Macaca mulatta: one gene and its partners. The protein of the gene in region 2 purifies or fractionates together with the protein of the main gene of each other region. This does not show direct contact. Links are inferred from orthologs where the notes say so. Each region holds a gene or a part of one and is shown on either strand. Other genes may lie near its edges.

What was found.
Region 1: the proteins of KPNA1 (region 2) and CHD3 purify together in Homo sapiens (affinity purification with mass spectrometry; 3 studies listed by BioGRID and IntAct, with this or other methods). This does not show direct contact. The link is inferred for Macaca mulatta from reciprocal best matches to the Homo sapiens genes KPNA1 and CHD3.
Region 3: the proteins of KPNA1 (region 2) and ALKBH5 purify together in Homo sapiens (co-immunoprecipitation; 3 studies listed by BioGRID and IntAct, with this or other methods). This does not show direct contact. The link is inferred for Macaca mulatta from reciprocal best matches to the Homo sapiens genes KPNA1 and ALKBH5.
Region 4: the proteins of KPNA1 (region 2) and USP1 purify together in Homo sapiens (co-immunoprecipitation; 6 studies listed by BioGRID and IntAct, with this or other methods). This does not show direct contact. The link is inferred for Macaca mulatta from reciprocal best matches to the Homo sapiens genes KPNA1 and USP1.
Region 5: the proteins of KPNA1 (region 2) and RNMT purify together in Homo sapiens (co-immunoprecipitation; 4 studies listed by BioGRID and IntAct, counting the BioPlex papers as one, with this or other methods). This does not show direct contact. The link is inferred for Macaca mulatta from reciprocal best matches to the Homo sapiens genes KPNA1 and RNMT.
Region 6: the proteins of KPNA1 (region 2) and MTA2 purify together in Homo sapiens (co-immunoprecipitation; 3 studies listed by BioGRID and IntAct, with this or other methods). This does not show direct contact. The link is inferred for Macaca mulatta from reciprocal best matches to the Homo sapiens genes KPNA1 and MTA2.
Region 7: the proteins of KPNA1 (region 2) and NOP58 purify together in Homo sapiens (affinity purification with mass spectrometry; 3 studies listed by BioGRID and IntAct, with this or other methods). This does not show direct contact. The link is inferred for Macaca mulatta from reciprocal best matches to the Homo sapiens genes KPNA1 and NOP58.

Annotation. Positions count from the first base shown.
Region 1 is NC_133421.1:9,402,499-9,405,998, reverse strand, and holds part of CHD3 (chromodomain-helicase-DNA-binding protein 3), read right to left. Parts: intron 3,346-3,500; coding exon 3,142-3,345; intron 1,607-3,141; coding exon 1,395-1,606; intron 731-1,394; coding exon 599-730; intron 206-598; coding exon 106-205; intron 1-105.
Region 2 is NC_133407.1:161,315,039-161,318,538, forward strand, and holds part of KPNA1 (importin subunit alpha-5), read left to right. Parts: intron 1-152; coding exon 153-284; intron 285-1,817; coding exon 1,818-1,906; intron 1,907-2,228; coding exon 2,229-2,328; intron 2,329-3,500. UniProt on the Homo sapiens protein: Functions in nuclear protein import as an adapter protein for nuclear receptor KPNB1. Binds specifically and directly to substrates containing either a simple or bipartite NLS motif.
Region 3 is NC_133421.1:19,758,640-19,762,745, forward strand, and holds the start of ALKBH5 (RNA demethylase ALKBH5), read left to right. Parts: upstream 1-1,306; 5' UTR 1,307-1,569; coding exon 1,570-2,339; intron 2,340-4,106.
Region 4 is NC_133406.1:178,189,643-178,192,397, reverse strand, and holds the end of USP1 (ubiquitin carboxyl-terminal hydrolase 1), read left to right. Parts: intron 1-756; coding exon 757-1,492; 3' UTR 1,493-2,255; downstream 2,256-2,755. UniProt on the Homo sapiens protein: Negative regulator of DNA damage repair which specifically deubiquitinates monoubiquitinated FANCD2. Also involved in PCNA-mediated translesion synthesis (TLS) by deubiquitinating monoubiquitinated PCNA.
Region 5 is NC_133423.1:84,414,143-84,417,642, reverse strand, and holds part of RNMT (mRNA cap guanine-N(7) methyltransferase), read right to left. Parts: intron 2,775-3,500; coding exon 2,610-2,774; intron 1-2,609. UniProt on the Homo sapiens protein: Catalytic subunit of the mRNA-capping methyltransferase RNMT:RAMAC complex that methylates the N7 position of the added guanosine to the 5'-cap structure of mRNAs. Binds RNA containing 5'-terminal GpppC.
Region 6 is NC_133419.1:11,464,263-11,468,490, forward strand, and holds the start of MTA2 (metastasis-associated protein MTA2), read left to right. Parts: upstream 1-1,428; 5' UTR 1,429-1,706; coding exon 1,707-1,734; intron 1,735-1,852; exon of another isoform or gene 1,853-2,135; intron 2,136-2,470; coding exon 2,471-2,538; intron 2,539-2,906; coding exon 2,907-3,000; intron 3,001-4,228. Other genes in the region: EML3 (echinoderm microtubule-associated protein-like 3), read left to right, coding at 1-11, 279-409, 490-693. UniProt on the Homo sapiens protein: May function as a transcriptional coregulator. Acts as a component of the histone deacetylase NuRD complex which participates in the remodeling of chromatin.
Region 7 is NC_133417.1:107,482,558-107,485,241, forward strand, and holds the end of NOP58 (nucleolar protein 58), read left to right. Parts: intron 1-760; coding exon of another isoform or gene 761-853; intron 854-1,414; coding exon 1,415-1,554; intron 1,555-1,943; coding exon 1,944-1,994; 3' UTR 1,995-2,184; downstream 2,185-2,684. UniProt on the Homo sapiens protein: Required for the biogenesis of box C/D snoRNAs such as U3, U8 and U14 snoRNAs. Part of the small subunit (SSU) processome, first precursor of the small eukaryotic ribosomal subunit.

The DNA of each region.
Region 1 (3,500 bases), on a different chromosome or scaffold from region 2:
GTTCACAGAGGTTACTGAATCTCTGGGAAGTTCCATCAATAGCCCTTGGGAAATCTTCGATCACCATGGCTCCAGAAACAAGAAATGCCAACTGAGAGGACTCACATCATTAGTGGGAGAACTGGGAGGCCCATCACCCTGTAGCTCCTTCTTCTTCTTCTTATACTTCCGGGGCTGGGCAGGGTCTTCCCCCATAATTAGTTCTCTGGAAAAAGAGTGGCTCTGAATGAGGCCTCATCTTTGGGAGTCCTACGCTTTCTTTTCTGAACCCATTCCAGACCTACTTCCCACTGTCCATGACCTAGATTTTCCCATATTTCCTTTTTCCCAGGCTTTTTACCCTTGCCCTTTGGATTTCACCTCAAGAACCAGCCCTCCCCACTCTTGAACATTCTCTTCTCCACTACTCAGCCAGATCTTGTTTCTGTTCCTTACACTACCTCTTTAGCAAGCCCATCTCAAACCACCCAGCCCAGGTGGCCATTGCCCTGAACTCCAGGTTGAATCAGTCCCTTCTATACCCTCATTTTATGCTGGAGTTTTAGCTTTCAGGCCCTCATCCTCAGAATCCCTCAAATCCACAGGCTCGTTCCCTCACCGGTGTCTCCAGTAGCTTTGCTTATGTTCTTCATATTCAGGGATATTCATTTCATCTTCCTCCCACGTGGACTGGTCATATGGCAAGTCCCTCCATTTTACTAGATAGTGGTAATTCCCCTTTTTATCCACACTGTGGGGCAGGAGGCCATAAGGAGGAGCAGGAGGAAACAAAAATTGCATAGATCACAAACAGCAAGAAGGCCTGAGAAACGCAATTATCAGCAAACACACAAAATTTGTCACCCAACCTTCAACAGTGGGCGCTGGAAGGGACGTGAGAATAGTTAACCTGGCAGCCTAACCTTCTCAGGATGGTATCCTAAAAATCAACTATCACAAAACATTCCTGGAGATCCCTCCTTATATCATTTGTTCACCTAATCACTAAGTATTTTCCTCATGGACCTCAGAGTCTCATGGGGAAGACAGCATTGAAATAACTAAATAAATACCGTAACTTTAGGCAGTAATAAGTACCATGAAGAAGAAATATTCAGAACACTGGTCTGGATGAATTATGTCTCTCATGTTTTGCTTTCATGCCCTCATCCCCAGACTCATGTGCTATGTCTTATGCCACTGGAGATGACAAAAGAGGCACTGCCTGGCCGAACTTTCCTCCTGTTTTCTCCCATTCCCCTGGAGGAAACAAGGCCAGAAAGGCTGAAGCTACAGCAGAGGTTATCAAGGTTAGATCAATTACCTGGTTAATCAGCAAATACTAACATGAGGCTATCACCATGGTAAGAATAGTGTCATATACCAGGTCTTACTTCCCAGGGCCAAGGATTCACCTGTGGTTGATGATACGGTGGACAGTCATCCACTCTGGCTTGATGCCAAAACGATAGTACTTCTCCTCCATCTCAGCATAGTGTGGGTCTTTCACTTTACGCTTGTCACTCTTCCCATCATCCTCGCCGGAGCCATAGTCCAGGGGCGGGGGCTCATCCATGTCATTCTTCCGCTGGTAGTTTCGGTACATAACCAAATGGAAGATTTCCAGCTGATAGGGCACAGAAAAACGAGGAAGAGACAGGCCTGACACTCACAGAGGACAACAGGGAACGGGGAAGAGGCCAGCAGGAGGAATGGGACAGGGAAAGAGAGCTATGAAAAAGGATAGATTGGCTGGGCGCGGTGGTTCATGCCTGTAATCCCAGCACTTTGGGAGGCTCAGGGGTGCGGATCACCTGAAGTCAGGAGTTCAAGACCAGCCTGGTCAACATGGAGAAACCCTATCTCTACTAAAAATACATAAATTAGCCAGGTGTGGTGGCACATGCCTGTAATCCCAGATATTCAGGAGGCTGAGGCAGGAGAATCTCTTGAACCCATGAGGTGGAGGCTGTAGTGAGCCAAGGTCACGCCACTGCACTCCAGCCTGGGCAATAAGAGAATAACAGGCGCGTCCCAGCACTTTGGAAGGTTGAGGCAGGTGGATCACCTGAGGCTGGGAGTTCGAGATCAGCCTGATCAACGTGGAGAAACCCCATCTCTACTAAAAATACAAAATTAGCCGGGCGTGGTGGCGGGCGCCTGTAATCCCAGCTACTTGGGAGGCTGAGGCAGGAGAATCGCTTGAACCCGGGAGGCAGAGGTTGCAGTGAGCCAAGATCGTGCCACTGCACTCCAGCCTGGGCAACAAGAGCAAAACTCCATCTCAAAAAAAAAGAAAAGAAAAAAGAAAGGAAGAAAAAGGATGGATTAGAGACAAATGAGTCAAAGTCAAAACAGGAGAATAAATAAAATGAAACAGATGCAACAGTTTCAGAAGACACCGCCTGGGTGGGGCTGTTATAAGCAAAAGGAGATAGGGAATGGGGTTATAAACATTGAGATTTTTTTTTTTTGAGATGGAGTCTCGCCCTGTAGCCCAGGCTGAAGTGCAGGGGCACGATCTTGGCTCACTGCAAGCTCCGCCTCCCGGGTTCACACCATTCTCCTGCCTCAGCCTCCCGAGTAGCTGGGATTACAGGCGCCCACCACCATGCCTGGCTAAATGTTTTGTGTTTTTAGTAGAGACGGGGTTTCACTGTGTTAGCCAGGACGGTCTCGATCTCCTGACTTCAGGTGATCCGCCTCCCTCGGCCTCCCAAAGTGCTGGGATTATAGGCGTGAGCCACCGCACCCAGCCGATAATTTTTTTTTTTTAAATAGAGATAGGGTTTCACTATGTTGCCTAGGCTGGTCTCAAGCAATCATCCTCCCCTGGCCTCCCAAAGTGCTAAGATTATAGGTGTGAGCCACTATGCCCAGCCAGGAATATTATAAAACATGGAAAAAGATAGATAAGGAAGGACGTGAAGTTAAGAAAGGCTATGCTATATCTGAGGGAAGAAAGCTAATGGAGACTGAGAGAAAGAGGACTGTAGACCAAAAGAACCACAGATGGAAACTAAGCAAGTAGGGTATAAAGGCCAGAGGCCTGAAACGAGAGAAAATGAAGGGTATGGGAACCCAGCAAACAGAGGAGTAAGAGAGGGAGAGGATGGCAGGAAATGAGGTCATGGGGGAGAGGAAAAGCAAAGGTCCTAGTACCTGAAGCTCCTTGGCCCAGGAGCAGTGCCAGTAGGATAGTCCCACCCACTTGACAAAGAACTCTCGCTCTGATCTGCCTTGAAGAGGACGCGGGGCTGGGACATCTGGATTCCCGTCTGCCTGTTGAGGGGCTGGCATTGCTACAGGCGGCTCCCCCCACCGCCAATGCAAGATCTTCTGCACTCGACCCTTCAGCACAGGGCACTTTGGGATGGACATGTACAAGGAGAAGGAAAAAAAAGAGGCAGACAGAACCCATCGTTAGATGACAGGATAGGGGTCCCACAGAGTGGGGGAGTGCAGAGAAAGGAAAAGCTGGACATGTGGGCCCCAGGGATGGGGGAAGGGATCAGGCCCGA
Region 2 (3,500 bases):
GTTCTTTTAAAATTAATAAAGTACTCAACTGATAGGTTACGTGCAAATAATGATCTCAGAATCTTTTTTTCATGTACAGAAAATGTTACTGTTATAAGTAAATAAGCTTTTACATTCTAAAATGATAATGAAAATTATTTTTATCTTTATAGTTTGAATCAGCTTGGGTACTGACAAATATTGCTTCAGGAAATTCTCTTCAGACCCGGATTGTGATTCAGGCAGGAGCTGTGCCTATCTTCATAGAGTTGCTCAGCTCAGAGTTTGAAGATGTCCAGGAACAGGTAAAAATGAAACAAAAGGAAGCAGCTGAAAGAAATTTTTCGGCTGGGCACGTCGCTCATGCCTGTAATCCCAACATTTTGGGAGGCCGAGGTGGGTGGATCACAAGGAGTTCGAGACCAGCCTAGTCAACATGGTGAAATCCTGTCTCTACTAAAAATACAAAAATTAGCTGGGCGTGGTGGTGTGTGTCTGTAATCCCAGCTACTTGGGAGGCTGAGGCAGGAGAATTACTTGAACCCAAGAGGCGGAGGTTGCAGTGAGCCGAGATCGCGTCATTGCACTGCAGTTTGGGCAACGAGAGCAAGACTCCGTCTCAAAAAAAAAAAAAAAGAAAAAAGAAACAGTATTTCCCTTCAGTCATAATAAGGGGCTGAGTTTTGCCAGTTGGCTTTGGTAATCTATGGATTGTCACAAAGGAGTGTTCTAGAAATTTAGTCTTAATCAAATAGAAAATGTCTTAGTGACTGTAGGCGGAATTTCTCTTAGACACAAAATAATCTTCCCCTTCCAAACCTGACATTCTTTAAGCTATGTATATGTACTTTTTTAGACCATGTAAGCAGTTACTGATAGAGGTTTTTTCTTGTAGAAATTTCAAGTGTTGAAAGTAGACCAGTTGCTGTGGCTCATGCCTGTAATTCCAGCACTTGGGAGGCTGAGGTGGGCAGATTGCTTGAGCCCAGGAGCTCGAGACCAGCCAGGGCACCATGGTGAAACCCCATCTCTACAGAAAATAAAGTAGGTGGCCATGGTGGCACACGCCTGTTGTCCCAGCTGTTTGATAGGCTGAGGTGGGAGGGTTCACTTGAGCTCCAGGAGGTGGAGGCTGCAGTGAGCCGAGATCACACCACCATACTCCAGCCTCGGTAACAGAGCGAGACCTATCTCAAAAAAAAGAAAGTGGCTAGTCTTTGCTACTTTTGTGCAGAAGGGTACAGAAAACAAACTTCTTTTTGTTCACTGTTTTCTTATGTAAGCAAGAAAATTCTCTTTCTCTTTTTCTTGCTTTCTTGCTTTACTTTGCTTTTCTTTCTTTCTCTCTCTCTCTCTCTCTTTCTTTCTTTCTGTCTGTCTTTCTGTCTGTCTTTCTTTCTGTCTTACAATCTCTGTCACCCAGGCTGGAGTGCATTGGCTCAATCTCGGCTCACTGCAACTCTGTCTCTCAGGTTCAAGCAATTCTCATGCCTCAGCCTCTCGAGTAGCTGGGATTACAGGCGCCTACCACCACACCTGACTAATTTTGTATTTTTAGTAGAGATGGGGTTTCACTGTGTTGCACTCCAGACGGGGTGACAGAGTGAGACTCTGCCTCAAAAAACAAAAACAAACAAAAAAGAATTAGTTCTTTCCTTTAATAAACTGAAAACCTCTGTTTATTGTATACTCTTGGATACTACTTATCTTCTCCCCCCAATCCTACAACTATTTCATTTGACTCGCCGATGAACGTGTTATTGTGGTATACTGGCATCTGAAAGAATTATGAGGGAATTAAACTATGTAGCCTTTATTAATGAATGATTCTTTCACAGGCAGTCTGGGCTCTTGGCAACATTGCTGGAGATAGTACCATGTGCAGGGACTATGTCTTAGACTGCAATATCCTTCCCCCTCTTTTGCAGTAAGTTTCTTCTTCCTTCTTCCTTTTTGAGAATAAAAATGTAAGAGATTCCTCAGAAAGCGTTACATCTTTGGAAATCATTTTGGATTTTCTAGTGTTATTTTTTATTCCAGATATTTTCTTGTATAGATCATTTCCTCCAGCACCCTATCTTTTTCCGTGCCAAAATTCTGAATTACTTGCATCAGAATTAATGAAGTTTTAATGTTTTGGAGAAAAGCTGTCTGAAGACATCTCTTTATCAAAAGTATTATTTAGTATTTATGTCATCAGATAATCACTGTCTGTTATATAGTTTACCCTTGTACCATCGTGCTTGTAGGTTATTTTCAAAGCAAAACCGCCTGACCATGACCCGGAATGCAGTATGGGCTTTGTCTAATCTCTGTAGAGGGAAAAGTCCACCTCCAGAATTTGCAAAGGTAAGGACTATGCTTTTGGGACATTGGCAGAAAAATACAATTAAAAGAATATAGCAACCAATAGTAAGGTGAACAGAAAGATAATTTTTGTTAAAATTTAAAATGTTAGAATTTTATCTGTTTTCAGACAAACTGTTGTTTTTGTTGGTTCTCTTTATTATTTAAAAAGCAAATTTAAAGCATAACTTGAAGGTGCACATTTACGAAGGGACTGCAAATAAAGCATAGCATGAAGGAAGAATTTGTAAAGCTTATTGAAATTAGGCTGCATACAATTAATATACTGTATTAAGAGACTATCCTTTCAGTTCTCTTAAAACAATGGTTCTCAAAATGTGATCTGTGAGTTCTCTGGGAGTCCATGAGATTCTTTTTTTTTTTCAACAGGTTTTTGGGGAACAGGTGGTGTTTAGGTACATGAGTTACTTGTTGAGTGGTGATTTCTGATATTTTGGTGCACCCATCACCCAGGCAGTATATACTGTATCCAGTGTGTAGTCTTTCATTTCTCACCCACCTCCAGTCCTTTCTCCCTGAGTCCCCAAAGTCCATTGTATCATTCTTACGCTTTTGTGTCCTCATAGCTTAGCTCCCACTTAATGAATGAGAACATCTGATGTTTGGTTTTCCAGTCCTGAGTTACTTTACTTAGAATAATGGTCTCCAGTTCGATCCAGGTTGCTGCAAATGCCATTGTTTCGTTCCTTTTTATGGCTGAGTAGTAGTCTATGGTATATATATCACATTTTCTTTATCTACTTGTTGATTGATGGGCATTTGGGCTGGTTCTGTGCATTTGCAATTGTGAATTGTGCTGCTCTAAACCTGTGTGTACAAGTATCTTTTTCGTATAATGACTTCTTTTCCTCTGGGTAGATACCCAGGAATAGGATTGGGCATCAAATGGTAGATATACTTTTAGTTCTTTAAGGAATCTCCACACTGTTTTCCATAGTGGTTTTACTGGTTTACACTTCCAGCAACAGTGTAAAAGTGTTCCCTTTTCACCACATTCATGCCAACGTCTATTTTTCTTGTTTTTTTGTTTTTTGGTTTTTTGAGACAGTTTTGCTCTTATTGCCCAGGCTTATAGTGCACTGGTATGGTCTTGGCACACTGCAACCTCCACCTCCTGGGTTCAAGTGATTCTCCTGCCTCAGCTTCCCGAATAG
Region 3 (4,106 bases), on a different chromosome or scaffold from region 2:
GGTCCTCCCACCTCAGCCTCCTGAGGAGCTAGAACCACATGCGCGCGCCACCACGCCCAGTTCTTTTTTTGAAATTTTATTGTAGAGATGGGGTTGCCATGTTGGCCACGCTGGTCTCGAACTCCTGGACTCAAGTGATCCGCCCGCCCTGGTCTCGCAAAGTGCTGGGATTACAGGCGTGAGCCCCCGAGCCCGGCCACGCCTTGGCTGACTGCTTCAAAACTTTTTTGAATTGACTGTAGTCACTATCTATAGCTTAGCCTTATCCTTGCGCCCGTTTGTTTCCTGGAGTTTTCTTCCGTCGTCCCCGTAGGAGGTGCCCCCACGCCCATCTCCAGCACCAACGAGGCTCGACGCCAACCCCAGCGCGCCCCCGCGCCCGCCTTCACCGGGACGTGACTCGTGAAACGTCCGCTCCGAGCGGCGGCGGCAGCGGCGGCAGGCTGGCTTGTACCCCGACAACGCGCGTCTGGCTTGTGCCGGACGTTCCTATCTGGGTTCAGAGGTGGGGTTGGGTGCTCTCGGTCCCGCAGTTTGAGAAGTTTTCGCGGGTTTCAGAAGTTTCCTTAGGAGTCCTAAAGGCTTTCCTCAGGCGGAGTCTCCATTCAGGCACTTATTTAGCCAACCATTTCTCCTTTAGGGGTCCTCGCTGCTCGCCCAGCCGCTAATTAAGTGACGGACGCAGTAACCAAGGAGACTGCCTGATTGACACGCATGATTACCAACCGACTTCCGGAAACTCCAGCCAGGGCCTGCCCGGCGCGTGGCCCACGGCCCAATTAAAGGAGTGGAAGCGCTAAAGGGGGAGGTAACGGAGCGGCCTAGGTTGTGGCGGTTCCCCGGTGATTGCGCGCTGGGGTTGAGGCGTCTGCGGGCATTCGGACGATGCCGTGACGCGGCATGGCGACACTCTTGGCAGTGTGAGCGCACCCCTGTAGAGGGAGCCCTTCGGTCCTGGAGGCGGCGCGGCGTGAAGACAGGTTGCTATTTGAGAGCGCTCCCTCGAAGCCCCTCAGCGAGTGGGGGAGGGGCGGCGGACGGCGAGCGGTCCCTGTCTGCGCTTGCGCCGGCGCCTCTGCCACCCGGCCTGCACGCACGCGCATGCCCGTAGCGCGCGGAGCCGCGGTGGCCGGCGGCACTGCGCGTGCGCGGTGAGGAGCCCGCTAAGGAGCGGCGCTGGCGGACGTCGGGCTGGCGGCCCGTGACGTCGTGAGGAGAGCTTTAAAGTGCGGGCCGGGCCGGGCGTCCGAGGGTCTGGTCGGGAGTCGGGCCGCGTCTCCGCAGCAGCCCTCCGCGGCATGAGGCGCTGCCGACGCCCCTGCCCCCCGGGACGTGGAGAAGGTGGAGGAGGAAGAAGCCCCGTTGTCGCCACCGTTGCATGACCCTTCGCTCCTGAGGCCTTACCCCACGCCCGGACCCTCGACGCCCCCCGCCGGGTCCCCCACTCACGCATGGGGGTTCGGCGCTAAGGACCCCCCTCCTTCCGGGGGCCCCGGGGCGCGTCCCCTTAGAGCCATGCCCGGCTGCCCCGCCCGCCCCGGAGGACCCTAGAGCAGCGTCGCGGGGGCCATGGCGGCCGCCAGCGGCTACACGGACCTGCGTGAGAAGCTCAAGTCCATGACGTCCCGGGACAACTATAAGGCGGGCAGCCGGGAGGCCGCCGCCGCCGCCGCCGCCGCCGTGGCTGCTGCAGCCGCAGCCGCCGCTGCCGCCGAACCTTACCCGGTGTCCGGGGCCAAGCGCAAGTATCAGGAGGACTCGGACCCCGAGCGCAGCGACTACGAGGAGCAGCAGCTGCAGAAGGAGGAGGAGGCGCGCAAGGTGAAGAGCGGCATCCGCCAGATGCGCCTGTTCAGCCAGGACGAGTGCGCCAAGATCGAGGCCCGCATTGACGAGGTGGTGTCCCGCGCTGAGAAGGGCCTGTACAACGAGCACACGGTGGACCGGGCCCCACTGCGCAACAAGTACTTCTTCGGCGAAGGCTACACTTACGGCGCCCAGCTGCAGAAGCGCGGGCCCGGCCAGGAGCGCCTCTACCCGCCGGGCGACGTGGACGAGATCCCCGAGTGGGTGCACCAGCTGGTGATCCAAAAGCTGGTGGAACACCGCGTCATCCCCGAGGGCTTCGTCAACAGCGCCGTCATCAACGACTACCAGCCCGGCGGCTGCATCGTGTCTCACGTGGACCCCATCCACATCTTCGAGCGCCCCATCGTGTCCGTGTCCTTCTTTAGCGACTCTGCGCTGTGCTTCGGCTGCAAGTTCCAGTTCAAGCCTATTCGGGTGTCGGAACCAGTGCTTTCCCTGCCGGTGCGCAGGGGAAGCGTGACTGTGCTCAGGTAACCCACCCGGGTAGAGGGGGCGGCCCTGCGCCTGCTGCCTTAGCTACCCACCCTGGCCCAGAAAGCAGCAGCCCGTAGGAGTCCGCGTTTTTTACAGTTCTGACCAATTCTTCTGTTTGTAGGTTGCAGGGAGCGAGAGAAGGGTTCTGTGTTTAAGATACCTATAGCAAGAAAACAGGGAACCGATGTGGAAATCCTGTCCCCGAAGGCAGGTTTGACGGGATCACTGACTTGACTGAGAATTCATCAAAAGCCATCTTTTCAGAAGGCTGTTCGCTTTGATTTTTTTTTCCCCACCACCCATTTCTTAGCATGAATCCCTTTGTAATTTTTCAGTTTTTCATTCTGGCCTTCCGTTTACAAATCTATACTTAAATTTTTTTTTTTAATTTACTATCTAAAAGTCGTTATTGTTCTGCCATTTTTGGATTCCTTAACCGAGAAAGTAGTCACAGGCAAAGGCCCCAGAGATTATTTAATTGAAGCACATTCTCCATTCCCAGGAGGGGGAGTGACTTCCCTGGAGTTGAACAGATTAGTGATTGGGCCAGGAATAGAGAGCAGCACACTCTTAAAATTCTTCTCTCCTGGCTGCAGAAGAGCCCATCAGTTCTTTGTAAGAACGTAGTCAGGACTGAATACAATAGAATACAGCTGGTCTTTTGACTGTTTGGTCTTATAGTTGCGTGAGCGGTAGAACTTAGGCTTTTGGCCTATATTCGGTTCCCAGATCCTGCTGAGAATTAGCTCAGTGCCCTGGCCTCCAGAGGAGATTGCCAGTGGGAACACCTTTGCTGTTAACGTGAAGTGAAAATTTTTTTGGAAGCTACCTCCTTCGAGTCCTGAAAAAGGTAAACCTAGTAATGTAATTCAGTAATCCCCAAAACCTCTTAGGTCTAGACTGCAGCTGTTCTCAGAGCAGCTTGGTTGACCACCACCAAATACAAGATGAGGACACAGTGGGCTTTTGTCGTGAGCAGCCCAGGTTCTGAAGTGAGTCAGAAGGGCCAAAGTCATAAGGAGAAGCAGTGTCCCTGGTGCCCTCTTCATATCATGAGGGGAGGTCATCTGTCTCATTTGAGTCGAACAGCTGAGGCTCCTTCCATGTTGGGGATGGCAGCAGAGCCTTGTGATGTCCAAGACCTCCTGATGGGAATCTGGGAAGTCAGTAGTAGCAGAAGCGATACTGTGACTCCTTAGGCATCTGAAACCTAGAGGACAGCTTACCTGTCAGATACCTTCTTATCATGGCCTTCTGGGCTTCTCAAATCTTCATGGCGCTCCTAGATGGATGTCTTGGCAGAATGCTTTAACATGGGATTTCCAGGACACACCCTTCCAGCGTGCTCACTGTGTAAGGCAGGTTGGGGTCTGACCCTGTTGAAGGGTTCTCAGTGCTGAAATTACCTCACACAAGGACCATTTGGTCTCTTAGTGGGATACTAATTTTCTGCGTAGTCATTGGACCTCAGGGTGGTTGTCAGGAGGTCTAGTAGTGGTCTGGTGCCTAATGAGGGGATCACAAGGCATTTTTTTGGTTTTGGGACTACTCCTCTCCTTAACACACACACACCCTGCATTTAAGAACAGAAGTTTCGAGTTCTTAGTATGCAGGTCTGTTAGTGATCAGCAACGGGATTGCATCATCAGGAAAATTCTCTTCATCTTTTCCTCAGAATAGTAAAGTCCTAAAGCTTTCCCAGTCCCTGTCAACCCCTTCTGAATTCAGACTTGGCTGTGGAGTTAGTGTGGGAGGCTCAGCGA
Region 4 (2,755 bases), on a different chromosome or scaffold from region 2:
ACTTGGTTATGTCAGAAGATAACATATAGCCCCTTATTCAGTGGACCTTCCGTTTGCTAATAGTAAAAAATAATATTTTACTTACTTTCCCAATTTTTGGTAGAGAAAAACTTCACACTAAAAATGACTAAAATGGGCTGGGCGTGGGTGGCTCATACTTGTAATTCCAGCACTTTGGGAGGCCAAGGTGGATGGCTCGCACCCAGGAGTTCAAGACCAGCCTGGGCAACATGACAAAACCCTATCTCTACAAAAAATACACAAACTAGTTTGGTGTGGTGGCGGGCACTTGTGGTCCCAGCTACTCAGGAGGCTGAGGAGGAGGAGCCTGAGGTGGGAGGATCACTTGAGTCCAGAAGGCTGTGGTGAGCCATGATTTCACCACTGCACTCAGCCTGGGTGACAGACCCTGTCTGAAAAAAAAAAACCTAAAATGTAACATTTTCAGTTCAGGTTCAGGCTATTTAAAATACCATTTATTTTCTTACTGCACAAAATTAGGAAAATAAAGGAAAAAATACAATTATTTCCTCCACAGAAATGCCTGAATATTAGAAGTTATTAAGTATTTTTTTGTTTCTGCATATATTACAAATATTATTCAAAGTTGGGGTCTTGTTTTGATTCTGCTTTTCTGATATATGAAGACTGAATATTAAGGGTTCATTCAGATTTTTACTTGGTTTCAGATTGGGGTATAACATTTTGAATTTAAAATGTAACTGCAGGAAACCTTTTCTTTTTTTCCTCCCAAAGGTTTGATTGTTACGGTGGTGGACTTTCCAAGATCAACACTCCTTTATTGACACCTCTTAAATTGTCACTAGAAGAATGGAGCACAAAGCCAACTAACGACAGCTATGGATTGTTTGCGGTTGTGATGCATAGTGGCATTACAATTAGTAGTGGGCATTACACTGCTTCTGTTAAAGTCACTGACCTTAACAGTTTAGAACTAGATAAAGGAAATTTTGTGGTTGACCAAATGTGTGAAATAGGTAAGCCAGAACCATTGAATGAGGAGGAAGCAAGGGGTGTGGTTGAGAATTATGATGATGAAGAAGTGTCGATTAGAGTTGGTGGAAATACACAGCCAAGTAAAGTTTTGAACAAAAAAAATGTAGAAGCTATTGGACTTCTTGGAGGACAAAAGAGCAAAGCAGATTATGAGCTATACAACAAAGCCTCTAATCCTGATAAGGTTGCTAGTACAGCGTTTGCCGAAAATAGAAATTCTGAGACTAACGATACTAATGGGACCCATGAATCTGATAGAAACAAGGAATCCAGTGACCAAACAGGCGTTAATATTAGTGGATTTGAGAACAAAATTTCATATGTAGTGCAAAGCTTAAAGGAGTATGAGGGGAAGTGGTTGCTTTTTGATGATTCTGAAGTCAAAGTTACTGAAGAGAAGGACTTTCTGAATTCTCTTTCCCCTTCTACATCTCCTACTTCTACTCCTTACTTGCTATTTTATAAGAAATTATAGGGTGAGTGTATTTTCCTTGTGTATATATTAAACACACCCACACAAACATTGGTAAAGTTGATTATATCAAAGAGTCTTTAGCTTATCTTTTGAAGCTACTGGATATTATTGGTCTCTCTAGGTTTTTATATAAATAGTGAAATTTGAATTACTGAAAACCATGTTAATTTTTAGAATTCATTTTCCTCAGTAGAGACTAGTGATGCATTAGCTTCTGGGAACAAACTTGTATCGGTTCTTAATTAAATTATCCAAAACGGAAGCATTTAAACACTTGGATTTACACCAATCTTTTGTGTTTGCTTTTTAAAATAAAGTGCTCGTATTTGTATTCTCCATATTTTGGAGTAATTATCTACATGATGTTTATAGTTCCTGTGGTTTTTCACCCAAGAAGCAGAATCTCATTCAGTACATTTAGTTTTATAAGAGTCATGAAGCGAAATCCTTGGGCTATGTCAGAGGCACAAAGTCTAGAATGTGTGTATTAACAATAGTGTACATTTTGTGCCTTGATTCACTTAGAAATAAGTGTCTCAGAAAACCTGGACAGTTGCCCTTCTATCTTCACAAGAATTTTATATGTATTTATGAAGATGATTCTGTACTCTAGTATAATCTTTTTGGGCATGGACTAATTTGTATCTCTTTAACTCATATTCTGCACGATCTGTATATAGTATATCAAACTTAGAGGTGTGACCTTAAATTTAACTTTTTTTAAAAACTGGGAGGTCAATAAAATTTAAACTGCTTAACTATGTATATGAATATTTGAATTTTTTACTTGTATATTTTTATAAATACAGCTGAATTTTCTTAAAGAGAACTAAGTGTGTGTATATATATATGTATATATATGAGAGAATAAGCATGCATAATCAGTACCTTTATTACGGAATACTTTCTGATAGTGCAGGAGAAGAGTTTTTCAAAGAGGAGAAATTGTGCTTAGTCCATCCAAGCTGTCATACTTAAAAGAGGTTTATAATGACATTTGTTGCATCTAATTGTCCTTTAAAGTAGACATGATTTAATGGAATAGAAAACTGGAAAAGTTAAGATGATGCTTTGGGCACACATAAAAACTTGGTTAAAATTTCATTTTAAACTAGTAAAGTGAATTGGTAAGTTGTGAATGATTTCATGACTTGTTAAGGGACATTCTTGGTACTAAAGAGTTTTTTTCCTAGAAATGATTCTAAATATATAAATGCTATTGGGATAACACTATAATACCCCATTTCAACAAGGAGTACCTTC
Region 5 (3,500 bases), on a different chromosome or scaffold from region 2:
CTTCTATTATATTAGGTCCCTCCATTAGACTCTCAGGTGTTTTTTTTCCTCACTGCATTTACCAAGTTTATAATTATATATCTGTAGACAACAAGAGGGAGCCTGGAGATGACTTCAGGCAGCAGGTAAAGGAAGAGTGGAAGGAAGTGGGGAAACCCTGAAAGTTAGGTTGGAGAGCTCGTGTACAGGGTGGCATTTGAGGGGACAGGGCAAGGGCAAACAGAGGCCACCGAGGTTTCTATGTAAGAGGTTCACGTAGGGCAAACAGGGGCCACCGAGGTTTCTACGTAAGAGGTACACGTAGGGCAAACAGAGGCCACCGAGGTTTCTACGTAAGAAGTTCACGTAGGGCAAACAGGGGCCACCGAGGTTTCTATGTAAGAGGTACACGTAGGGCAAACAGGGGCCACCGAGGTTTCTATGTAAGAGGTACACGTAGGGCAAACAGGGGCCACCGAGGTTTCTACGTAAGAGGTACACGTAGGGCAAACACCAGAGGCCACCGAGGTTTCTATGTAAGAGGTACACGTAAGGCAAACACCAGAGGCCACCGAGGTTTCTACGTAAGAGGTACACGTAGGGCAAACAGGGGCCACCGAGGTTTCTACGTAAGAGGTTCACGTAAGGCAAACACCAGAGGCCACCGAGGTTTCTATGTAAGAGGTTCACGTAGGGCAAACAGAGGGCCACCGAGGTTTCTATGTAAGAGGTACACGTAGGGCAAACAGGGGCCACCGAGGTTTCTATGTAAGAGGTTCATGTAAGGCAGACACCAGGGGCCACCGAGGTTTCTATGTAAGAGGTACACGTAGGGCAAACAGGGGCCACCGAGGTTTCTATGTAAGAGGTTCATGTAAGGCAGACACCAGAGGCCACCGAGGTTTCTATGTAAGAGGTACACGTAGGGCAAACAGAGGGCCACCGAGGTTTCTATGTAAGAGGTACACGTAGGGCAAACACCAGGGGCCACCGAGGTTTCTATGTAAGAGGTACACGTAAGGCAGACACCAGGGGCCACCGAGGTTTCTATGTAAGAGGGTCACGTAAGGCAGACACCAGGGGCCACCGAGGTTTCTATGTAAGAGGTTCACGTAAGGCAGGATTCTGTTACTTCAATGCATCCTCCTTGGAAAGGCAACATGAGCAAAATTAAATCTTTTATTCCAGCCCATTCTCTTTGTAAATCTCTAAAATAAACCTTTAGAAATGAAACCAAGTTTCACACCTAAAAAATCTCATGATTCCAAGAATTGAGGCCCAATTTGAGTAAGTTTTGCCACACAAAAAGCTTCTGTTCAGTTTCTTAATGAAATGGCAAAAAGGCATCTCAAAACCCCTACACATTTTCAGATTCTATTTCATCCAATACTGTTTCAATAAATAATCTTTTAAAAAATTAGATATTAAAGTGATGACTTAGGTTTACCATCATTAGGCAATTCAAGTTAAAAAAAAAAAAACAAAGACCTCTAGGTCTTGTTCAGCATTTAAAACGAATCTTTTGTTTTATACTGTTAACTAAAACCTCAAGCTAACATATTAAACATTCTCAACAACATGCCACAAATAAGTTCTTTTTTAAATAAAGTTGAAGAGCAGTAACATTTCCCCCAAGTTTATTAGTTTTAAAAACTAAAAAGCAAAATGCAATTGATATTTTTAAATTTTGTAATGGTTTATATTTATAAAATTATGCATAGTATTTTCCTCATGTTCAGTCACAATGCTACTTGGCTTTCTTATACTATTGAATAAGCTATTACAGAACTCCTGAAAATACTGTAACCCTAATTTTAGACTGAGTTACAATTAAAATCATCACCAAGCAAAAGTAAACAGACAATATACCTCTTCTTTTTCTCAGTTAATATTCAAAACAAAGATTTTTGTTTCGAAAAAGTAGAAAATCAAGTTCAATCAATCATGACATGGCCTACATTTAAGCTGACTTTTATACTCTCCCCACCAGGGAAACTCTGGAAACCAAGGTGTATCACAAGGCCTTGAAGCCTTACCTGGTAAGGCCCAGTTACCCCCAGCTTTTCCTGTGTCTACAGTTTGCCAGGACTCCTAGGAATTCAGGCACATGGGAGCATACATTCCTGAATCAGGATTTTAACATCGACACTGCCTGTGAGACATAGCCAATTTCAAAGCTGTAGTGAAATGCAAACAACTTTTAATGCTCATCTCTGTCAACAGGAAGACCTTTGATTTATGAAGACTCATTGTTTATCATCAAAGCGACCAACAGTAACTAAAAAAAAAACTTTCGCTATTTGCAGTGTCAGGCGTTTTGTGCCACAAGCTGAAGGCAACTGGTTCCCCTTTTCACCCACAGGATTAAAACATTCCAGGAATGAGAAAAAACTAAGTTAGGCTATATGAGACCTATGGCAATAATCCCCCAGATTTGAGGCTAGTCTTTTTTTTTTTTAAAAAACAAAACAAAACAAAACAAAAACCAAACCAAAACAAAACAAAAAAAAACAAGACTATACTTTTTCTTTGGCCCCCATTTAAAATAAAGAGTAAAAGAAATACTGCTTTTCCCCCCTTTTCTTTCCCTTAAGACAAAAAGAAAAGAGTGAACAGATTAATCTTCTTACTCATTTAGCAATGGAAAATAGACCAAGAATTCAGGAACATCCACAACACCTTCCAGGTTGAAGTCATATTTGCAGCCAAATAAAGGATAATCTCCTTTCTTCTGAAATTTCACAGTATATATTTCATTTCCAAATGATTCTGTTTCTGAAGCTTCAAGGCGTCTTCTGTCAAGGTTATCCCCCAACCAAAATAAAAAGAATAAAATTGTGATTAATGTAGACTTATTTTGATCAGATTTTGCATGTGAAGAACTACATGATGCACACTTGATTAGCTTTTTAATTAGATATGGGCTTTTTTTTTTTTTTTTAAAGTGACAAGGTCTTAATCTGTCACTCAGGCTGGAGTGCGGTGGTGTGATGATAGCTCACTACAGCCACCAGCTCCTGGGCTCAAGTGATCCTCCTGCCTCAGCCTCCTGAGTAAGGACTACAGGGGTGTGCCACCACGCTGGCTAATTTGTAAATTTTTCGTAAAGACAAGGTCTCACTTTGTTGACCAGGCTGGTCTCAAACTCCTGGCCTCAAGCAATCCTCCTGCCTTGGCCTCCCAAAGTGCTAGGATTATAGACATGAGCCACTGCACCCTCCTGATCTCAGTTACTTTTAAGAAGCAATATACTAAAAGATCATCAACAGTCACACCAATAAAATTAAGCTGGAAATAGGAATCACTCTCATGAGCGCTGGTTAAGTCTCCGTGACTGTCTGTCGGACCTGCAGTTTGTCTATCACTATAACTTCAGTCTCTAACTCACACATGAAGATTGGTTCAGTCTCCGTGACTGTCTGTCTGACCTGCAGTTTGTCTATCACTATAACTTCAGTCTCTAACCTACACATAAAGATGAACTTTTAAAAGTTCATCTGTAAATTTGTCTATTGAATTTA
Region 6 (4,228 bases), on a different chromosome or scaffold from region 2:
CCACGTCTACGGTGAGCAGGGGCGTGGAACCCTGCTGGAGGGGTGGGGGACAAGGTGGAGCCCAGTTTGGGCTCGGAACGCTGGGCGTGTGTCATTGGGTGAGAGTCCAGAAACCTGAAGATCCAGCCCAGGAGGCCCCTCCGGCCCTCGGGACCGGGAAGGCTTTCCTGGAACGCGACAGTGGGTGGCTGCGGCTGCCGGAGCGCCTGAAACGGTGTAGCTCTGGGCCGTGGGTGGCGGTGGGTAGGAGGTCGGGCTGAGGCCGGCCACTGTGCTAGGCGTGTGGCCGGACGGCTCCGATGGGACCGACATCAACTCCCTGTGCCGCTCCCACAACGAGCGCGTGGTGGCGGTGGCCGACGACTTCTGCAAAGTGCATCTATTCCAGTACCCGTGCGCTCGTGCCAAGGTGAGGCCGCGGGGGCCGCCGGGGTGGGACGGGTGGGCCCGAGGGCTCCGCCGCCACTGCAAGTCTTCCCTCCCGCCCAGGCGCCGAGCCGCATGTACGGGGGCCACGGCAGCCACGTGACCAGCGTCCGGTTCACGCACGACGACTCGCACCTTGTCTCGCTGGGCGGCAAGGACGCCAGCATCTTCCAGTGGCGAGTGCTGGGCGCTGGGGGCGCGGGGCCGGCGCCTGCCACGCCCTCTCGAACCCCCTCCCTGTCCCCCGCCTCCTCCCTCGACGTTTGATCGCTGCCGGCGGGACCTACTGGCCTGGCGGCGTGGCCCCGCCCCGCTCTGCCCCGCCCTAATCCCCCACGACCAGGGGCCGACTCTTTCCTCGACTGACTTCGAAACATTCCCGACGGTGCATTTCCCTGGAGGGCGCGAGCGGCGCCCCTGCACACACTGTTTAGACCCGCTGGTTGAGCCGGGCAGCCCCAACCTAGGCCTTGACTCCCGCTGCCTGCTGAGGGGCAATAAACCAGAACCAAAGTCGCCTCCCGGTGCTTTTGTGGGGCGCTGCTGGGTGCCTCCGGGGCCCTGTGGGGTGGGGACGAAGGAAAAGAGGCGTGCGGAAAGGGCAAGGGAGCGTAGACCATTTATGCAAATAACAGGCAAAGCCGCTTGCAAATAACCTGGCGAAGCGCTAAGGCGCGCGAGTCTTCGGGGCGGGAGGAGGAGTTGCAGGGCTCCAGCTAGGACAGAGTTAAGCCCCACTCCTCTCCCGCCCTCGGAAAAAGGGGTGGGGGGGGTGCCGAGCTGCAACGGAAATAGCCGAGCGATTGGCCGACAGGAGCCGAACTTCTTCCGGAAGTAGCCGATCTGCGGGGTCTCGCTCTCCGACCTGAGCCGAGCAGTGGGCCTTGTTCTCCGGATCGGCCGAAGGTGTTACGGAAGGAGGCGAACCCTGAGGCGGGCCGGGCAAGCCTTCCCTGCGGCCGGCAGAGCTCAACGACTAGTGGGACTCGGCGGGGGTGGGGGCAGCTGCAGCCTGGCAGGAGCCGAGCTCGTTCCGGAAGAAGCCGAGCGGACCGGGGCCAGCCTCAGCGTCCCGGGAGTGAGGCGATAGCTGCGGCGGCGACAGCGCGGGCCGGGATGAACCGCGACGGCTGAGGCAGCGGAGGTGACGGCTGCGCGGGCCCCAGTGAGACTCCCTCGAAGCGCCAGCCCACCGTTCAGGGCTTTGCCTCTAGCCGAGCCCTGCCCCCGCGAGCCTCCCGGACCCCTTTGTGCGGCCGGAGGCGGCGGCGGGAACGGCCATGGCGGCCAACATGTACCGGGTGGGAGGTGAGTACCGGGCGCAGGGGTACAGGGTCCGGGGCGGGAGAGGTTGTGGTCGGGACCGGAGGGGCTCGGCACCGGGTGGCGCGAGGCGCAGCGTATGGGGCGGCATGGACCGGAGCGCGGACCGGAACCGGAACCGGGAGACGAGGAGCTAGGGTGCGGGAAACCGCGACGCGGCAGGGCGCCGAGACTCCTGGAGAGAAGCTGCGGGCAGCCCCGACGGCACTTTCAGGGCTGCGTCGGGGGCTCCTCGGGGCACGGAGTGGGCTTCGGAAACCGGTTCCGAAGGAGCTGACAGGGTGGGGAGGGAACGCGAGGGGCTGGGGCGACGGCTTTGCCACCGCGGAGGAGCCGCCCGGAGGTTTCCTCTTCCCAGGCGTTATTGTGCGCCTCAGTTCGAAAAGGTGGGGGCCCTGCGCTAGAGCGAACAATTACTTCGCCGCGACTGAGGTGCAACTCGTTGCTGAGTTGTGGGGACTGCAGGGGAATCCCTGCTTCTTGCCTGTTCCTTAAGGCTCACTTTTGAGTAATGGATCTGATTTTAGAACTAGGTGCGGTGGGGGTGGGGGACATCCTTATTTTCTCTTAGTCTTTACACTTTCACATCTCAGCGCGCTCTCTGCCTGAATCCTTATCTTCTTTTGATCCACTCAGGCCAACTTTCTCTCCTACTCTGGTGCTCTGCGTCTCTCCCATCTCCTCTGATCTTCGTGGTTCTCCCCCCTCCCTTCCCTTACAGATTACGTCTATTTTGAGAACTCCTCCAGCAATCCTTACCTGGTTAGACGGATTGAGGAACTCAACAAGGTGAGTGGAGCAGAATCTCTCTCCCTCCCTCCCCCAGTGGTCTCTTCTGAGGTTTCTAACTTCGGGTGGAAGAGAGGACCCTATACTAAGTACCCATTCATATTCATTCATTCATTCATTGGATGTATTCAGGAAAGGCTATTGAGAGCTTAGCAGGAACTTTACTATTCTGTCTCTTGGGGGCAAAGGAAAGGGATTTGGAAGTCTGTCCTTGAATGTAAGTGTTTACTCATATTTTCTTGGGCTTTTTAATTTAGGTCCCTCTGAAACTTACTGTTATTTGTCTCTTTGTGTATTTCTGTTCCCAGATGATCAATTTTCACTGCTACGTTGTTTTGTTTCTGTTTTTGTTTTTTTCCTCCCCTTAGACTGCAAATGGAAATGTGGAGGCAAAGGTCGTCTGTCTTTTCCGGCGCAGGGACATTTCTAGTAGCCTCAACAGCTTGGCTGATAGTAATGCCAGTGAGTATCTTCATCCCTTTCTTTTCCCCCTCCCCATGATCTGAGGCCTGCGCATGTCCCTGCAGGTATTTCCCCTGGTAGCATGCCCAAGGCAGAGGTGTGAGTTTGAGGGTGGGAAATGCCTGGCCTGAGGAGGGAGACCTGTTTTTACACGTTGGGGTTGGAAGCAGGGTGGAGAGATTGTGATATGGTTTGTGTATGAGAGTAGGAGAGAGACGATAAGGTTGATTTAGGGGATGAAGACGGGGTTTAGAGAAACAGAATGCTTTTCTAAAGGGGGGCAGTTTGGGGTACACTGGGACAGTAGGTGGTGACTGAAGGTCAAGGTGAAGAGGAAGAGATTGTACTGAGAAGCCCGCATAACAGAAGCAGCCTTATTTTGTAATCACAAGGTGGTGAGAATACCTGGAAGTTAGAAGATGGCTGGAAGTTTTCTTGCACTTTTTAATTTCTCACCTTGCCCATTTCCCCACCTGCCACCCCCCATTTTACATCTTTCCCTTTTCATTTTGCTCTATTTTCATCCTCTTTAAGGTCTCATTTTCTTTTTTTAAAAAAAAATATTTTCCTTAGCTGCTTTTTCCTTTCCTGCTTTGGTTTTCTTTTTCCTTCCTTTTGTTCCACCTTTCTAAATCATTTTCCTTTTTCAGACTGCTCTGGGTGAGAAGGGGTTAAAGAGGAGCCTGGCTAACCAAGTTCCCTGGCCCTTTAGGGTTTCCAGCCCCATCTGGCAGGGGCTGACCTTGGCCTTGTCCAATCAGAAGGGGTGTTGGGGGTGTGGTCCCCCTTGCCTTAGCACAGGGTTTCCGGAGCACACAAGCGAGGGGTGGAGCCTACTGAACAACCCCCCCTTCTCCCTGAGGTTGGGAACAATGCACCAATGAGCCTGGGCCTGAGGCTTTTCTGCCCCCTCCCACTTTGGTTGGCGCCTAGCCAGATTAACCCCTTCCACTAGGTTTCAGGGCAAGCTGCAGCTCTTTCAGGAGGAAGATGTTGGCACTAGCTTGAGAGGTGTTGTCCTTGAAAACCCTAGGAACTATTATTAGCCAAGTAGAGAATGAGGGATAGTTAGGGCTGCATGTGATGTTTTAGTGCAAAGAGTCTCCTGAAATTGAAAAGAACTGGTAAACACAGTCTTGTGTGATTTTTTTTTTCATCTTACTGGGTTGCTGGACCTCAGGCTGGTTTAGCAAGAGACAAATGTAATGTTCTTGCTGGCCTGTTGTGG
Region 7 (2,684 bases), on a different chromosome or scaffold from region 2:
TGAGTTTCTACTACATGAACTATTTTGAGAATTAAGAGAAAAAAGGAATGTGTTTTCTAAATTGGTTGTTGAAAATTTTTTGTTTTATAGTTATATGGAATTGATGGTACAGTGATTTTCTTCATTGTTTCTGTTATCTGGAGTGGACTAGAAGGAACACATACTGGTAGCCTGCCGTCATAGTTACAATATCCAGTAGGTGCTCACCAGTTAACTAGGCTGTCTTGTGAAGCTGATAAGCAGGGGCCCCATTATTAGTTAAACCTGGGTTTCTTGAACACCTACTAGCAAGTCTAGCAAAAGAGTAAAGCATTAACACAATGATTGCTTTAACTTGGTTTCTAAGTAGCTTAGTGGTCAAAAGTGTATGTTCTACAAATGTGGATAGTATACTTGATAGAGAAGTAATTTATTTAACTTTTATGCTTCTTTTTATTGAAAAGTAAGGAGATCCCTAAACCCATTAGTAGCATTTGAGGCACCAAACTCTGTCTTTTGTATCCTCAATTGTGTATCCAATAAGCTTTTCCGATTTATCTGTCAATTTTTCATCCCACAATTTCCTCCCTCTTTTTTTTTTTGCCCCCCACAAGACAGAGTCTTGCTCTGTCACCCAGGCTGGAGTGCAGTGGCGTGATCTCAGCTGACTGCAACCTCCGCCCCCTGGGTTCAAGTGATTCTCCTGCCTCATCCTCCTGAATAGCTAGGATTACAGGCATGTGCCACCAGGCCCGGCTAACTTTTTTTGTATTTTTATTAGAGACAGGATTTCACCACGTTGGACAGGCTGGTCTTGATCTCCTGACCTCAAGTGATCCTCCCGCCTCAGCCTCCCAAAGTGCTGAGATTACAGGTGTGAGCCACTGCACCCAGCTGGTCACTGAATGTCTAATGATAGCTACGTGTTGAGTCCTTATTGTAATGTGTGCTAAGCATTATACTTTGTACTTTCTATGCATCATCTTTTTAAGTCTCGGTAACAATCTAGTAAGATAAGACATTCTTAAGTTTTATAGATGAGGATATGTAGTTTTACCAGGGGTAAATACAATTTTTCAGGGTTGTAGAGAGTAGACTAAACCCAGGCCTTCTGACTTCAGAGTGCAAGCTCTTAACCATTTCTAATATAATTGACTCTCTTCCCAATAATGATTGGAGATCAGATGACCGTTGTTTTAATCCTGATTTTTATACATGATTTCATGCTCGTGAGAAAATTGCCTGAGCTCTATCTGTATCATTTGTTAAAGTTAGTCGTAGGCCTTGGAGAACCTTCCCAATTATAAAATAAACAAAACAAACATTGGGTAGTTGATGAGAATGACAGAAAAAAACCTAGGACTCAAACGTTTTTGGAAAGAGTGAGATCTGATATAGTGTTAATTTGTTGTGCCTTTACACTTACTCTATTCAGTTGAAGAAGAGGAAGAAGAAGAAAAAGTGGCAGAAGAAGAAGAAACATCTGTGAAGAAGAAGAAGAAAAAGGGTAAAAAGAAACACATTAAGGAAGAACCACTTTCTGAGGAAGAACCATGTACCAGCACAGCAATTGCTGTATGTTTGTTTTTAATTATCGATGTTCACTTGGAGGGGCCAGTTCTCCACATTTCAATCTATTTTCTATATCAGAAATGAGCAGGCATTTTAAAAAATGGTTTTCATTGATGGGGAGGTAAAAGTGAAATGGCTTTGTTGTATTTACATTATAAAAGGCCATTTCCCAAATCTAGAATTTATTACTAAAAATTGAGTTTGCATTGAGAGGAAGAGTATGATTTGCTGAAACTTACTTTTATAGGTGGGGTTTTTATATTTTCAATTTTAATCTTTTCCCTGAATTTGTTTTCAAGGGAAACAGATTGATTTTGCATTTTATGAAGAAAAGTGATTAGTCACCCATACAATTACAGCTCTTTCAAAGCATTCTTGTTGGCTATTTTCAGAGTCCAGAGAAAAAGAAGAAAAAGAAAAAAAAAAGAGATAACGAGGATTAACAGAAAGGAATTACAAGTGTATCACCTGGACACATCATGCTTAAGATTCAACTGGGAGCATACCAGGGATGCTCTCTAACATAACCAAGGGAAGGTTCAGTAAAACAAAGTGATTTATCATCTATAACTTCAAACCTATTTGTGTCTTGACATCAACTCTGTTAACCTTATGTCATCATTTCTTAGAGTCTTTGATATACAAATAAAATTTTCTTTGTATTTTAAGACAATTTTGTGATCTCTTTATATCTTGAGTAGAGAATCTTTGGCTCCTTCTATAGTTTGCCATGTGATGATTATTGTTTTGATAATTATAACTGAAAAGTGAGAGTTTTTTTGAAATTTGACCTTTTGGAAGGCAGTGACTAAGTGGACCAATTCAAGAACCCTACTCTAATGTGTTTCTTTTGCCTTTTTGGACTACTTTTTATTTTCCACCTATTGTCTTTCTACCTCTCTTTATTTAAATATTGTTTCTTGTTCAAATTTTAAAATTAGGTGAGCAAAACATTTTAGTATCTGTTCAGAAGGGTGGGAGATAGTATCCCTACCTTTATTGTTTGCAATTGTAAAAGGCACACCGAAATAATTCTTAATACCCTGATTTGTTTTTAAAGTAGTCAACCTGAAGTGACTTTTTTAAAGGTTGTACAAAGTGATCATAAAGAATGGAGAATAGAGGAAAAAAAA